4 linked regions of the Saccharomyces cerevisiae S288C genome follow. The main gene of each other region encodes a partner of the protein of the gene in region 4 in a complex. Each region holds a gene or a part of one and is shown on either strand. Other genes may lie near its edges.

Region 1 (2,780 bases), on a different chromosome or scaffold from region 4:
TATTACTAGCACCACTTCCTGTCTGTCTAAATGGATGTGACAGGCCCGGGGTGCAACACTTCAATGTATAACTACGCTGGCGTATTGGAGAATTTTTTGGATCTAAAATTTGTGCGGATACGGTTGATCGTCTTGGTGGCTCAGAGCTTCTCTTGGGTGAGGTAGAAGACGATCGATAAGGAATTCGGGTGACATTAATAGGACTTGAATCTCTTGAACGAGGCGGCCTGAAAAGGTTTTTAAAGGACTCAGAAAATGACCTTACTCTTCTTGTCACAGGTTGTTGCCGCTTCTTCTCCTCCTGCATTACCATTGATGCTGTCAATGTTTTTGAGTCCATCATGCAATTAAACTAGCTAGTTGAAGTGAAAATGAAATTTCCTTATTTTCCACAAGAAATACGCGGAGGGCAAAAAAAGGGACCCAAGGGCTGACAATATTCAGCACAATCCTACTTATTGTACTCTAAATTATATACTTATATGCCCCATAAGTGAGTTTTGAATTTACATATTTCCATGAAGGGCAATGTTTTTTGATATATACATGAACAAACTTATCGAGAGAAAGCTTATATAATACTTTCTTGCGGTCCAACTCTTATGATCTCATTTTCAGGAAGAGGAACGTGCTCTATTTTGTCAAGTAAGTCTTTCATTATATCTTCATGCATTTTATTACGCATATCAATAGTCTCTACAACGGAGCCTTCATGAGATAAAATCTCCAGTTTGCATGGAACGCTTTTTTGCTTGTCTTCGTTCTTTATCCTTATCACGTCAAACTTCATTCTTGGATTATAGAACTGCAAAGTGGGTAGGTAGTTATGCCAAAAAACTCTGGCACCCATATGTCCATTGTGGTTTTTCGTTTGAAAAGTCAATCTAAGACCTGAGTATTTTTTAGGATCGACTAGAATCTGCGGTAGTCTGGTAGTGGCGCTAATTTTATTCAAAAATTTTAACTGTTGTGCAACCTTAGACATCTTCTTATTGTAGCAGGCTCACTTATGTTATACTGTTCTTCTATTAATGAGTTTTATGGCCGATTCTTACAGATATCCTGTTTTCCCTGGGTGAAAAGTCCTAGATCACTTTGAACGTCCCAGTCTTCTGAGGACGCAAATGTAGTCACAATATGGCGTATATGAATGCTCCTTTATTTATCTGTATACACCTCTATTGAATAGACGTACGTAGATATATACATGTACATATATGCATGTGTCACTTTTTTATCATGGCCCTGTTAGACTCACCAAGAATCTATAACCAGGTTTGTTTGTGCTTTTTCTTGTTCTTGTTTTTACTTTTATTGATTTTTTTTTTTTTTCAATTACAATTATCCCACTGAACCTCCTTAAAATTCTTTCATTAAATCCATATATGGATCCTCCCCTTGAATTCCATAGTTGAATTCCTCTTCAGGGTATCTGTCAAATTGAGAAGTGTCACCTTGGCCCTGTTGGATTGGTGGTTCGTACGGCGTTTCTATGTATCTTGCTAACAATTTCTCCCATATCACTTCGTTAAACCACGGATGGTTCTTGACATCTTCACTTCCATTTTGTAAGTTACCCAACCTTTCACTTAAGTCTCTGGTAATTAGCTTCTTCAATAAGTCCTGCGCGTCTGGATGGAAAAATGGTGGGAACTTCAATTCGGCGTTCAGTATATTTTCGTAAGTTTTCATGGTGTTCGAATTGTAAAATGGAGTGTATCCGGCAAGCATTTCATAGATTAGCACACCAAAACTCCACCAATCCACTGATTTATTATACGGTTTTGTACTGACCACTTCCGGCGCTATGTAATCTGGTGTGCCACATAATGTGTATGTGACATCGGGAACGTATTTTGCGAAGCCAAAGTCGGTTATCTTGATATGGCCGTTTTTATCTAGAAGGATATTTTCTGGTTTCAAGTCTCTATATATTATATCCTTACTGTGCAAATATTCCAACGCTAAGCATACCTCTGCGGCATAAAATTTGGCTACTGGGTTGGGAAATCTTTGAGATTTACGTAGTAAAGAAAATAATTCACCACCTTCAATGTAGTCCATTACCATGAAAACTTGCTGAGAATCTTGGAACGTTCCCCACATTCGAATGATGAATGGATGTGAAACAATTGAAAGCATTCGGCGTTCGTCATTGGTGTGTTCAACCTGCTTCAGCTTCACTATAGTGTGCTTTTTCAATGTCTTCAAAGCGTAAAACCTCCCATTGTGATTGGAACGAATTAGGTGAACTCTCCCAAATGAGCCAGTTCCCAAAGTTCTTAAAATCTGAAAGTCACTTAGGGAATACTTTCCTGAGGTATCTCTATATTGTAGCATTGGTTTTTTAACCAAACAAATACCTGCAGACGCTTCTTCTTTCAACTTTCCGCTGTTTCTTCCATTTATCTCCACGGGTGTGTTGGAAGAACATTCCTCATGCACCGAATGTGCGTTTACAGGAATGTCTTGTCCAACGTTATCTGGAGTTGTTTCTGTCTTGGCAGTAATGCTTAATTTCCTGATTTCATTGTTGTTCATCGGATCAACATACATTTTGTGCAGGCTCGCTCTTTCCTTGTACAACCACCGATATACAATATGATTAATGTATTATTCAATAATATACGTGAAACTTTCTTATTGCTTAAAGAGTGATCGCCTATAAATTTTCTCCGACGACTGCACAAAGTGTCTCGTATGTCCACTCGAGTTTCTTACCGATAGAAGTAATAAAGCAGACAAAACTTTTAAGATCAGCTGGTAAAAAGTGTCTTTTC
Region 2 (2,635 bases), on a different chromosome or scaffold from region 4:
TTTTCGAATCTCACCGAGCCACGTGGAACCTTTCACAGTTGATGGTTTTGGATGGTGTACTAGTCACATACCCGAGCTTCAAACAATTGAACAACGCCTATTTTATTGATGAATCCAGCAACAAAACTGCGCTTTATTACAGAAACTGGAAATTACAACTGTTTTCACCAATATGGGCGCAGCTATGGAATACTGCCATTGTCAGGGCTAATTTATCGATTCAGCATTGCCTTCTGATAGCATTAGCTTTACTTTTTAATCAGTCAAACCGAAGCGCCCTTTTGCATGGAGTTGACGTATCATGGAATTTGGTCACAGAGAAACTATTGGACCTTTTGGAAGAGTATGTACACGGCATTGTGCAGCCGATGGAAATTTTTTCGACTGATTCAGTCTTATCAACCAACTTGAATCATTTGGCCAGTTGCTTGACCAGTTCAATCACGAGGTCAAATGAGGCAACTTTGGTAAATTCAGTACGCAAACTAGAAAGGATATGTCGATACTTGTCCGATACTGTGGCTTCGTTGAAAGAACAACAACTAGATTTCAAGTTCCAAAATGTATTTATCCTGATAATCCTCGCGTTAAAAGAATTATCCGCCATGAATATGACAATACTGCCTAACCATAAAGACACTTTTTATTCTATGATCTGTTTAAGCCTTTTCCACGTCCACGTATTGACTCAAAAAATCGGGACAGTCGGTTTTCCCAGTTACGATTATGTTTACGATAATTTAGTAACGTATTTCATTGTCATGGATGACTTGTCTAAAATCACTACAGTTTTGGAACTAATGAAAAGAAACAACACCAAACAAGATCCAAATAAATTAGTGTTTTACATCAATTTTCTAAACAAAATTACTAATTACTATGGGTGTCGCATTCGTTTGCCGTTTATTACTGAGTTTATCGAACCTTTACTGCATTTCGATGTATTTTTTAGCGGGAAGACGGGCAATACCTTGGATATTGAAATCAAAGAATCTATACACACATTGACAATCACTGTACTGTCTATAGACTCCTCTTATTCCTCACAGGTTGCACAATGGCAAGTATCCCGCATACTCGTCTATTTAAAGATGTCGATGGACCAATTTATTGCAGGTAAATTGTCCGCAAATCAAATTTTACTTATATTCGGCCATCTATCCACACAACTTCCCTCACTACATAATTATAACAAGCATTTGCTTAGGGACTCTTTGCACGAGACGTATATCAGAATTGTTAATGTAAAAAACCCAGAAAAGAAGAATGTATTGATTGAATGTCTGATTGTACAAATAGCCTTTATCAACAATCCTCATCATTTGATCGGCTGGTTGAACATCTGTCTCCAGCTAATCAATACACATAACAAAAAGCTACTTCAACAATTGTGGGAAATGGTTTCGAGTCTAGAATCCTCCCTAGCCATCGACTGGTGGTACACAACGGTCTTATCAAGTCAATCTTCTAAATTATAGTATCATTAAGTACTTTATAGTAGCGCCTTTTTATATTCCTTTTTTCTCAAACAAAAAAAAAAAATGACTGGGATACAAGTGAAAGTGGAAGAGCAAGTGAAATACGAAATAAAGTGAACCATTTATACAGAATAGGAAAACCAACTAGTGCATTAAACTAAACTCCATGTCATACAAACAGTATTTTGATAGTTTGCCTTTGAAATTGAAGTCCTTTTTCCAAAGATACCCCCCTTCAATCAAGTATTCTCCAGTGTCTACATCTACTAAAGCCATTAATGCCAATCCTTTCCTGCCAAATAAACATCCGGTCACACAACGATTTCATGATCCGAAATATTCACTTAGAAGAATGAGTGACGTATATAAGTTGGCACTGCGTTATGGAGTAGAAGAGTTTTTACCACCGATCGAAAACACTAAGAAACTTTTCTTCGAGGAGAAATACAATAAAAAGACCCTCATGAAAGGTGTTCTCTTGCCCAAGGGTCATAAGCATGAATTGAAATTAAACGAAAAGCTAAAAAAACGTGAAGAAGCTTTAAAGAAGGTAGATGAGTTGATTGCTTCCAAGAAGGGTTCGAAGTATGCCAAGAGAGTAGAAAAAATGAAAAAAAACCAAAGTATAGGCTGGTTCTGAAGAATAAGAGAGAAGATAACTATAGTTTAGAATAGTAAACCCTATGTGTACTGTTTTATGTTTTTAATGTCTAATCATGTAAATAATTTTGTGATATCAATAACGAACGTTCTGAACAAGAATTATGATAAAAAAAAGTAAAATCTAAAGCCATTACAACGCTATATTTTCAGTGGCAGTAAAAACGCAAGAACAAAAACAAAACGTGGGTAAAGAACAAGGACTACAATGGCTGTCAATGAATTTCAAGTGGAGTCTAACATCTCTCCAAAACAACTGAATAACCAGTCAGTGTCACTTGTTATTCCTCGGTTGACAAGAGATAAAATTCATAATTCAATGTACTATAAAGTAAATCTAAGCAACGAATCTTTGAGAGGCAATACAATGGTAGAGCTTTTGAAAGTTATGATTGGCGCATTTGGTACCATAAAAGGTCAAAATGGTCATTTACACATGATGGTTCTCGGTGGCATTGAGTTTAAATGCATCTTAATGAAGTTAATCGAAATCAGAC
Region 3 (2,756 bases), on a different chromosome or scaffold from region 4:
GTCTTACCTCTTATGCCTTATTGCGTTTTTCCAAGCATCTGCTCCATATAATAAATGTAACTACCTATCAACCAACTTCCATGTACCTTACCCAATTGGCCTACCAAGTTTTCGTTACATTGTTTCGACATGATATCTAGTTGTTTTGTCGTTTCCTGTAAATTCGTTTGAAGCTCTCTAAGTTCGTGTGCAAGCTGATTATACTGCCTTTGTTTGTTAGCGTTCATTCTCTTGCCTGAAATTCTTTGTGTCCTCTTCGTTTTGAAGTTCAAATGTTCTGATATGTTCTATTTCGCCATTTATCTTGTTGATCTTTCTTCCCACCTTTACAAAAAAATAACGTTGATTTCAATGGGCATGATATAATATGAGCAATACAAAACATCAAAGCCTTCTTAGGAGTGTTACTTTCAAACATGGATCTATAAACAAGTTATTCAATGATTAAACTATATACAGATGAAATTTTTATATCAATAAAACGATCTTTTACGTATCATTCAAAAGAATTTTGGGGCCTTTCTAATGGAAATCTTCGTCCACTTGGGCACCTTATGAATACCCTTCCTATAACCAACAGCTTTTTTATCAAAAGTCCAATATTTATCTTTAGAAGACATTTGATTCTCCTTTGGAAAGACTGATGGTTTGTTTAACAACCTTAACGATTTACTTCTTGGCTTGTATTTCTTTTTGCTCTCCATGGCTTCTTGATAAGTAAGACCTTTATCCTGACATCTTTGGACGTGGAGACCTAAAGTTAATTGCTTTATGACTTGATCAACGTTTCTTAATCTTTCCCTTTGACGGGTTTTTTGATGTGTGGACATTCTCCATGGAATTTTCCATAGTAGGCCACCAGCGACGGGGCTTGTTAATTTGAATGGGCCAAACATTGGAGTCTTATAACTTGGGTAGCCTTTTAAATACGTCTCCTTCCTACAAAGTACGGATATCTTTTTTCCCTCTTTGGCTTCCCTTTGTCCTTTTGTTATACCGTTCTCTTGAACTTTTTGAATGCTCTTGTACTTCTCCGATTATAAAGTTGAAAACGGAGTGCCCTGTATTTATACCTATGATAGTTTAGGAAGATTTAACCATAATTAAAGCCAGAGATACAAAAGTCGAATATCTTCAAGTTATCTGGAACAACTTTCATATATTTGATAAGATGGAGCAAAACAAAGATCCGCAGATGATCTCGAAACATAGTTCTAGGCTACCTATATGGGTGCTAAGTCCTCGCGAAGAACAACAGGCTCGCAAGAACTTGAAGACGGAAACATACAAAAAATGTGCAAATTTTGTTCAAGCAATGGCAGATTGTGCTAAGGCAAATGGAATGAAAGTTTTTCCCACTTGTGATAAGCAACGAGATGAAATGAAATCGTGCCTCCTGTTTTATCAAACAGATGAGAAATATTTAGATGGTGAAAGGGATAAAATTGTTTTAGAAAAAATCAACAAGCTTGAAAAGTTATGTCAAAAACAAAGCTCTACAAAATAAGCTGTGTTGATTGATGTTTTTGATTTACATCTTTTAAGGATTTTTTGATATATCCATTCTTGTACATAAATTATATACACACAGCCCAACAATAAAAAGGAAAAATTAATACGAAGGGTATATATGTATGGTATAATACTTAAGTTCACTACAACGGACGTTTATAGTCAGAATAAATCGAGGAGATCCTGTGACACTATATTGCCGCCCGAAACATCGGGATTGTTTTTACCACCAGAAGATATACCGTTTGAGTCGCCACCTAGTTTCAGCTCCTTCAACCCTTGTACAGCCTTGGTATCATTTGTATTTATTTGTGTGGCATCCTCAGATGGTCCGAAATCAAATAAATCATCCAAATCGCCTAAAGTTGTTAAAGTATTCAGCATTCCTGCATTTGTATTTGTTACATCATCTCTTTCATCAAAATCCAATAGCACATCATCGTTAGCCTTGCTAGAAATTTCATTTTTTGCCATGCTTTCTAATTCCTCTATATGTTTTCCTTTAACTATATTTTGAACATACTTTTTGCCTTTTCTCCTATTTGAGTCGGGCTTGAAATAAATGGAACTTATAGTACCCAATTCCATTAATAGTTTCTCTAGCACTTCTGGTGAAAACTTCTCCAGTGTATTGGAGATCATTGGAAGTTTATTTTGACATAGATCATTAACCAAACTTTCATTATTTGGCATCGAAAGGCATCTCCAATACATCATAGCCATATCTCGCACATCTAATTCATGTGTCTGTTGTGTGGCCAATTCTAGGACGCTTTGTAGCATACTACCCGTTAAAGTAGCATGTAGTCTGACTATTGTCATTAGTAAAGACATCTGTGTTAAAGCTTCCTCTTGAACAAAGTTCTCTATAAAAATATTGATTTTTGACTCCAAATCTGAGAAATTGTTGGGATGCTGTCCTAGCAACCAGACATAGTTGCACTTCGCAATATCTGATTGTAATAACACCTCTGGATTTGACCAAGTATTAAATACTGCACAAACTTGTTTGGCCATCTTATCGTTTCCGGGGCAATGTCTTAATAAATCACATAATGATATACAGCAGTCGTCTTTTATTGTGTCTTGTCTTTCTAACAATTCTAGGAGAATATCCAAGACTTTACTGACGAATGATTCTTGTGCATATTTAATACCCAACTGGGACAAAGCTTGAATAGCTCTTGAAACAAACTCAGGTTCATATTCCATTGCGTATTCCTTTAATTCTGTCAACAACAAAG
Region 4 (3,351 bases):
ATCATCATGGTCGTCGTTATCATCACCATCTTCGTTACTGGTATCGTCCTCGTTGTCATTATCACTATCTTCATCATATTCAGACACTAAATTGTTTTCGTTCGACAGCAGATCTTCTATTTTCTCACCATCAACACCCACCGTAATATCCCCTAGTTACACATACTTGTCTTCCATATCTGCAACTTCATTTCAAATTAGTACCACTTCAGAACTCTCTTCTAGTTGGTTCTCAACAATTTCTTCTCCTTCTACGATATCAAATAAAGATACCACATTCCCAAGTTCCAGTCGGAATACTTCCACATCGTTTTACAGTTCATCGCTTTCATCGACGAACGATTTTTCAACCATAAGCAAATCATCGAAACTCAGTCCATCAGCTTCATCTTCGACAGTTTCCATAAGCACGATTTCCGTGCCAACGTCAAGTTCTGTTAGCTCATCCAGCAGTAAAGTACCTTCAAACCGTCCTTCATCATCATCATCATCAGATGATACAACAAGTGCTTACTCAAGCACGTATACTTTTCAGTCCTTACAATCTACTACTAGCAGCAGTATACCACCCACCACTCAAACACCCAGCACTAGTACGATTTCTACGTCTCCCATACCAACATCCAGTCAGGTCTTCAATACGGTAGCCATTTCAAGCTCCGAAGATTCAAAAACTATTTATTATTTCTATACCCAAACATATGATATTACTGACTCCTCTACAACGTTCGTGACGGGATTACCTACGACCATAGCAGTTGCAAAAAGTGAGGTAACCTCATTTTCCGCTCCATCTTCGACGATCACAGCTGACATGTCTTTCTATCAGCACTGGCTTGATGGCAGTTTGGATAATAACAAAAACCAAGGCACTTCAAAGACAAATACTGGTACCATTGTTGGAAGTGTGGTAGGAAGCGTCGGTGGTATTCTTATATGTGTACTAGTAGTTTGGTTCATGCTGGTTAGAAAAAGGAAGGCAAAGAGGCATTTCAAGGAAAACGATTCCTTCTGTCACGAGATTGGGCGCAGAACGGGATTCCCAACAACTGCCCAAGCAAAAGAGGCGTCACTTCAAGCTCAAGACTCGGGATCACAGCAACGAAACACCGAGACTGCTTCTGCTAATAATCCGTTCAGCAACGAATTCAATTTTAAGGCAAGAGGAAATCCTCCTCCAGTGCCACCACCAAGGAATGTTACCGCAATGAATGGCTCCTTTCAAAATATGCGGAGTAATTTCATGGACCAGGAAAACAGATTTTCCTATGGCTCTTCATTTACATATTCGTCATTGGGTTCATCTACTCAAGGTGGCTTTTCTACTTTATCTTCAAATTCGATACGACTCGGACGTGGTTTAGATAATGACATCTCTCATGATGAGAGAAATACAGTTCAGAACAATTCACAAGGGTTCTTGAGGGAAATTATATGACGATGACTTCAGTCTATTAGTATGATGTTTACTAATTAAGCAAAATCAGCTCTTGCTGAATAACACTACTATTAAAAATCATAAAAACATCTTTATTGCCAATAGTGAAGAACGACAAGGCCTTTTAAAAGGCATAAAAAACAATGATACCATTCTGCAATGAAAAAAAAAGAAAACTTTGTTCTTTGTGTATAAAGAAAATATTTTAGTTCTCCTAAATAAATAAATACTAAATTATACGAAACTCTTTCAGTCTTTTCTCCTGCTTGCTGCTTGAACAGTACTCATGATATTCTATTAATCTTCTGTGGGCGGGGTAACTAAGCCTTCACTGTACTCGGGATTTTGAATAAAAGTCAACTATCCAATCTGGAAGGCATTTTAACATACGCCATTAGGAGCCGCATAGCAAGTCAGAGAACCTCACCTCACCCTATCTTTTTTATTAAAGAAAATGAACTTCCACACGGCAAGAATATCTCAGGTCGGTGTCATTTCTAGGGCTCTACTTTCTTCTGTAAGTAGACGTTGGATTCATGTAACGCCAATAAGTCTTAATAATTCAGGAGGATCACTATTCGGAAGCATTACAGAAAATAAACCAAAGGAAGGAAAAAACAGGGGGGATGAAGATGCAGGCAGCTTCTCTAATAGGTTAGCGATTGCTTCTGATTCTTCTGGAGAGGCTCCTGAAGTTAATAGGGATTCAATAACCATAGAAAACGATAAACTACTACAGCAACATATCATATCGTTGCAGCAACCGGAACAATTAGCATCACAGAGCTTATTATCTCCTTTGAAAAGGGAAATATATGAAGCTAATTGTAAAATTAATGGTGGGTTTTACAAGAAAGATACTATTGTAAAGTTACCAAATTCTAGCGAACGTTACAAGCTAAAGTTAACAAAAAGAGAAATTGAAGTACTAGAACCTTCCGTATATGCTCAGTCATATAGAATTAAATCGTCGATGAAAAAGGCTACACTTTTGTTGAGGTTATTGGGAGGCCTCGACGTTATGAAAGCTATATCTCAGTGTCACTTTTCTAATAAGAAAATTGCTCGCGAAGTAGCAGAACTACTTCAAAAAGGTGTAAAAGATGGCCAAAAATTAGGTTTGAAACCAGAGGACTTATATATCTCTCAGATTTGGACAGGGAGTGACGGGTTTTGGAGAAAACGTGTTGAATTCAAGGCAAGGACAAGAATCGGAATCATAAGTCATCCTTACATACATGTCAGATGTATTCTGAGAACAAAGAGTGTTACGAAACGAAGACTTGCTTATGAAGCACATTTAAAAGAGCAAAAAAGAGCGCCATGGGTACAGTTGGGAGATAAGCCCATTAGGGGTGTTACAGGCGGCGTATACAAGTGGTGAAAACGATAGCGAACTCATTCATATCCGAGAAATCGTCCTGTAAGCTGAGAAAGATGAACTGCTACTCACTTCTTAACCTATATTCACAGTTGTGTTGTACAAAACTTTTCTTTTGATTATATAATATTGTGATTCTGTAAATAACAACTAGTTTCAACGCACTGCTTCAACGTGCACCCTCCTGACTAAACACGGCAATATGCAAGAAACCGCAACAATTAAGTGCACTAGAATAGAAGAAATTATTGTACTTATAGTTTATTTATGTATTTAATAATTAAATCTAAGCTTCAACTGGTTCAGCTTGAGCTTCAGTTTCTTCAGCTGGTCTGTAGTCCTTGACAGATGGAGCAAGAATTGGTTCTTCTTCTTTTGGTTCAATGATGGTGACAGCATCTGGCAAAGCCTTTGGACCAGTTCTGCTCTTAGCTGGGTCTCTCATAATCTTAACCTTGATACCCAAAACACCTTGTCTCATCAAGACGTGTCTAGTAGCAGTGTCAATGAAGTCGTTGACTGGTTGACCAGA

The links.
Region 1: MRPL22 (region 4) and MRP49 share a complex: the UniProt entries of both Saccharomyces cerevisiae proteins name them as parts of the mitochondrial large ribosomal subunit.
Region 2: MRPL22 (region 4) and MRPL25 share a complex: the UniProt entries of both Saccharomyces cerevisiae proteins name them as parts of the mitochondrial large ribosomal subunit.
Region 3: MRPL22 (region 4) and MRPL31 share a complex: the UniProt entries of both Saccharomyces cerevisiae proteins name them as parts of the mitochondrial large ribosomal subunit.

Annotation. Positions count from the first base shown.
Region 1 is NC_001143.9:133,150-135,929, forward strand, and holds MRP49 (mitochondrial 54S ribosomal protein mL61 MRP49), read right to left. Parts: upstream 986-2,780; coding exon 572-985; downstream 1-571. Other genes in the region: putative serine/threonine protein kinase KKQ8, read right to left, coding at 1-313; cAMP-dependent protein kinase catalytic subunit TPK3, read right to left, coding at 1,360-2,556. UniProt on the Saccharomyces cerevisiae protein: Component of the mitochondrial ribosome (mitoribosome), a dedicated translation machinery responsible for the synthesis of mitochondrial genome-encoded proteins, including at least some of the essential transmembrane subunits of the mitochondrial respiratory chain.
Region 2 is NC_001139.9:636,587-639,221, reverse strand, and holds MRPL25 (mitochondrial 54S ribosomal protein mL59 MRPL25), read left to right. Parts: upstream 1-1,644; coding exon 1,645-2,118; downstream 2,119-2,635. Other genes in the region: PEX8 (Pex8p), read left to right, coding at 1-1,478; U4/U6-U5 snRNP complex subunit PRP38, read left to right, coding at 2,347-2,635. UniProt on the Saccharomyces cerevisiae protein: Component of the mitochondrial ribosome (mitoribosome), a dedicated translation machinery responsible for the synthesis of mitochondrial genome-encoded proteins, including at least some of the essential transmembrane subunits of the mitochondrial respiratory chain.
Region 3 is NC_001143.9:184,786-187,541, forward strand, and holds MRPL31 (mitochondrial 54S ribosomal protein mL60 MRPL31), read right to left. Parts: upstream 897-2,756; coding exon 501-896; downstream 1-500. Other genes in the region: HSK3 (Hsk3p), read right to left, coding at 18-227; CMC1 (Cmc1p), read left to right, coding at 1,172-1,507; APL2 (Apl2p), read right to left, coding at 1,675-2,756. UniProt on the Saccharomyces cerevisiae protein: Component of the mitochondrial ribosome (mitoribosome), a dedicated translation machinery responsible for the synthesis of mitochondrial genome-encoded proteins, including at least some of the essential transmembrane subunits of the mitochondrial respiratory chain.
Region 4 is NC_001146.8:303,157-306,507, reverse strand, and holds MRPL22 (mitochondrial 54S ribosomal protein uL22m MRPL22), read left to right. Parts: upstream 1-1,892; coding exon 1,893-2,822; downstream 2,823-3,351. Other genes in the region: TDA7 (Tda7p), read left to right, coding at 1-1,438; 40S ribosomal protein uS3 RPS3, read right to left, coding at 3,106-3,351. UniProt on the Saccharomyces cerevisiae protein: Component of the mitochondrial ribosome (mitoribosome), a dedicated translation machinery responsible for the synthesis of mitochondrial genome-encoded proteins, including at least some of the essential transmembrane subunits of the mitochondrial respiratory chain.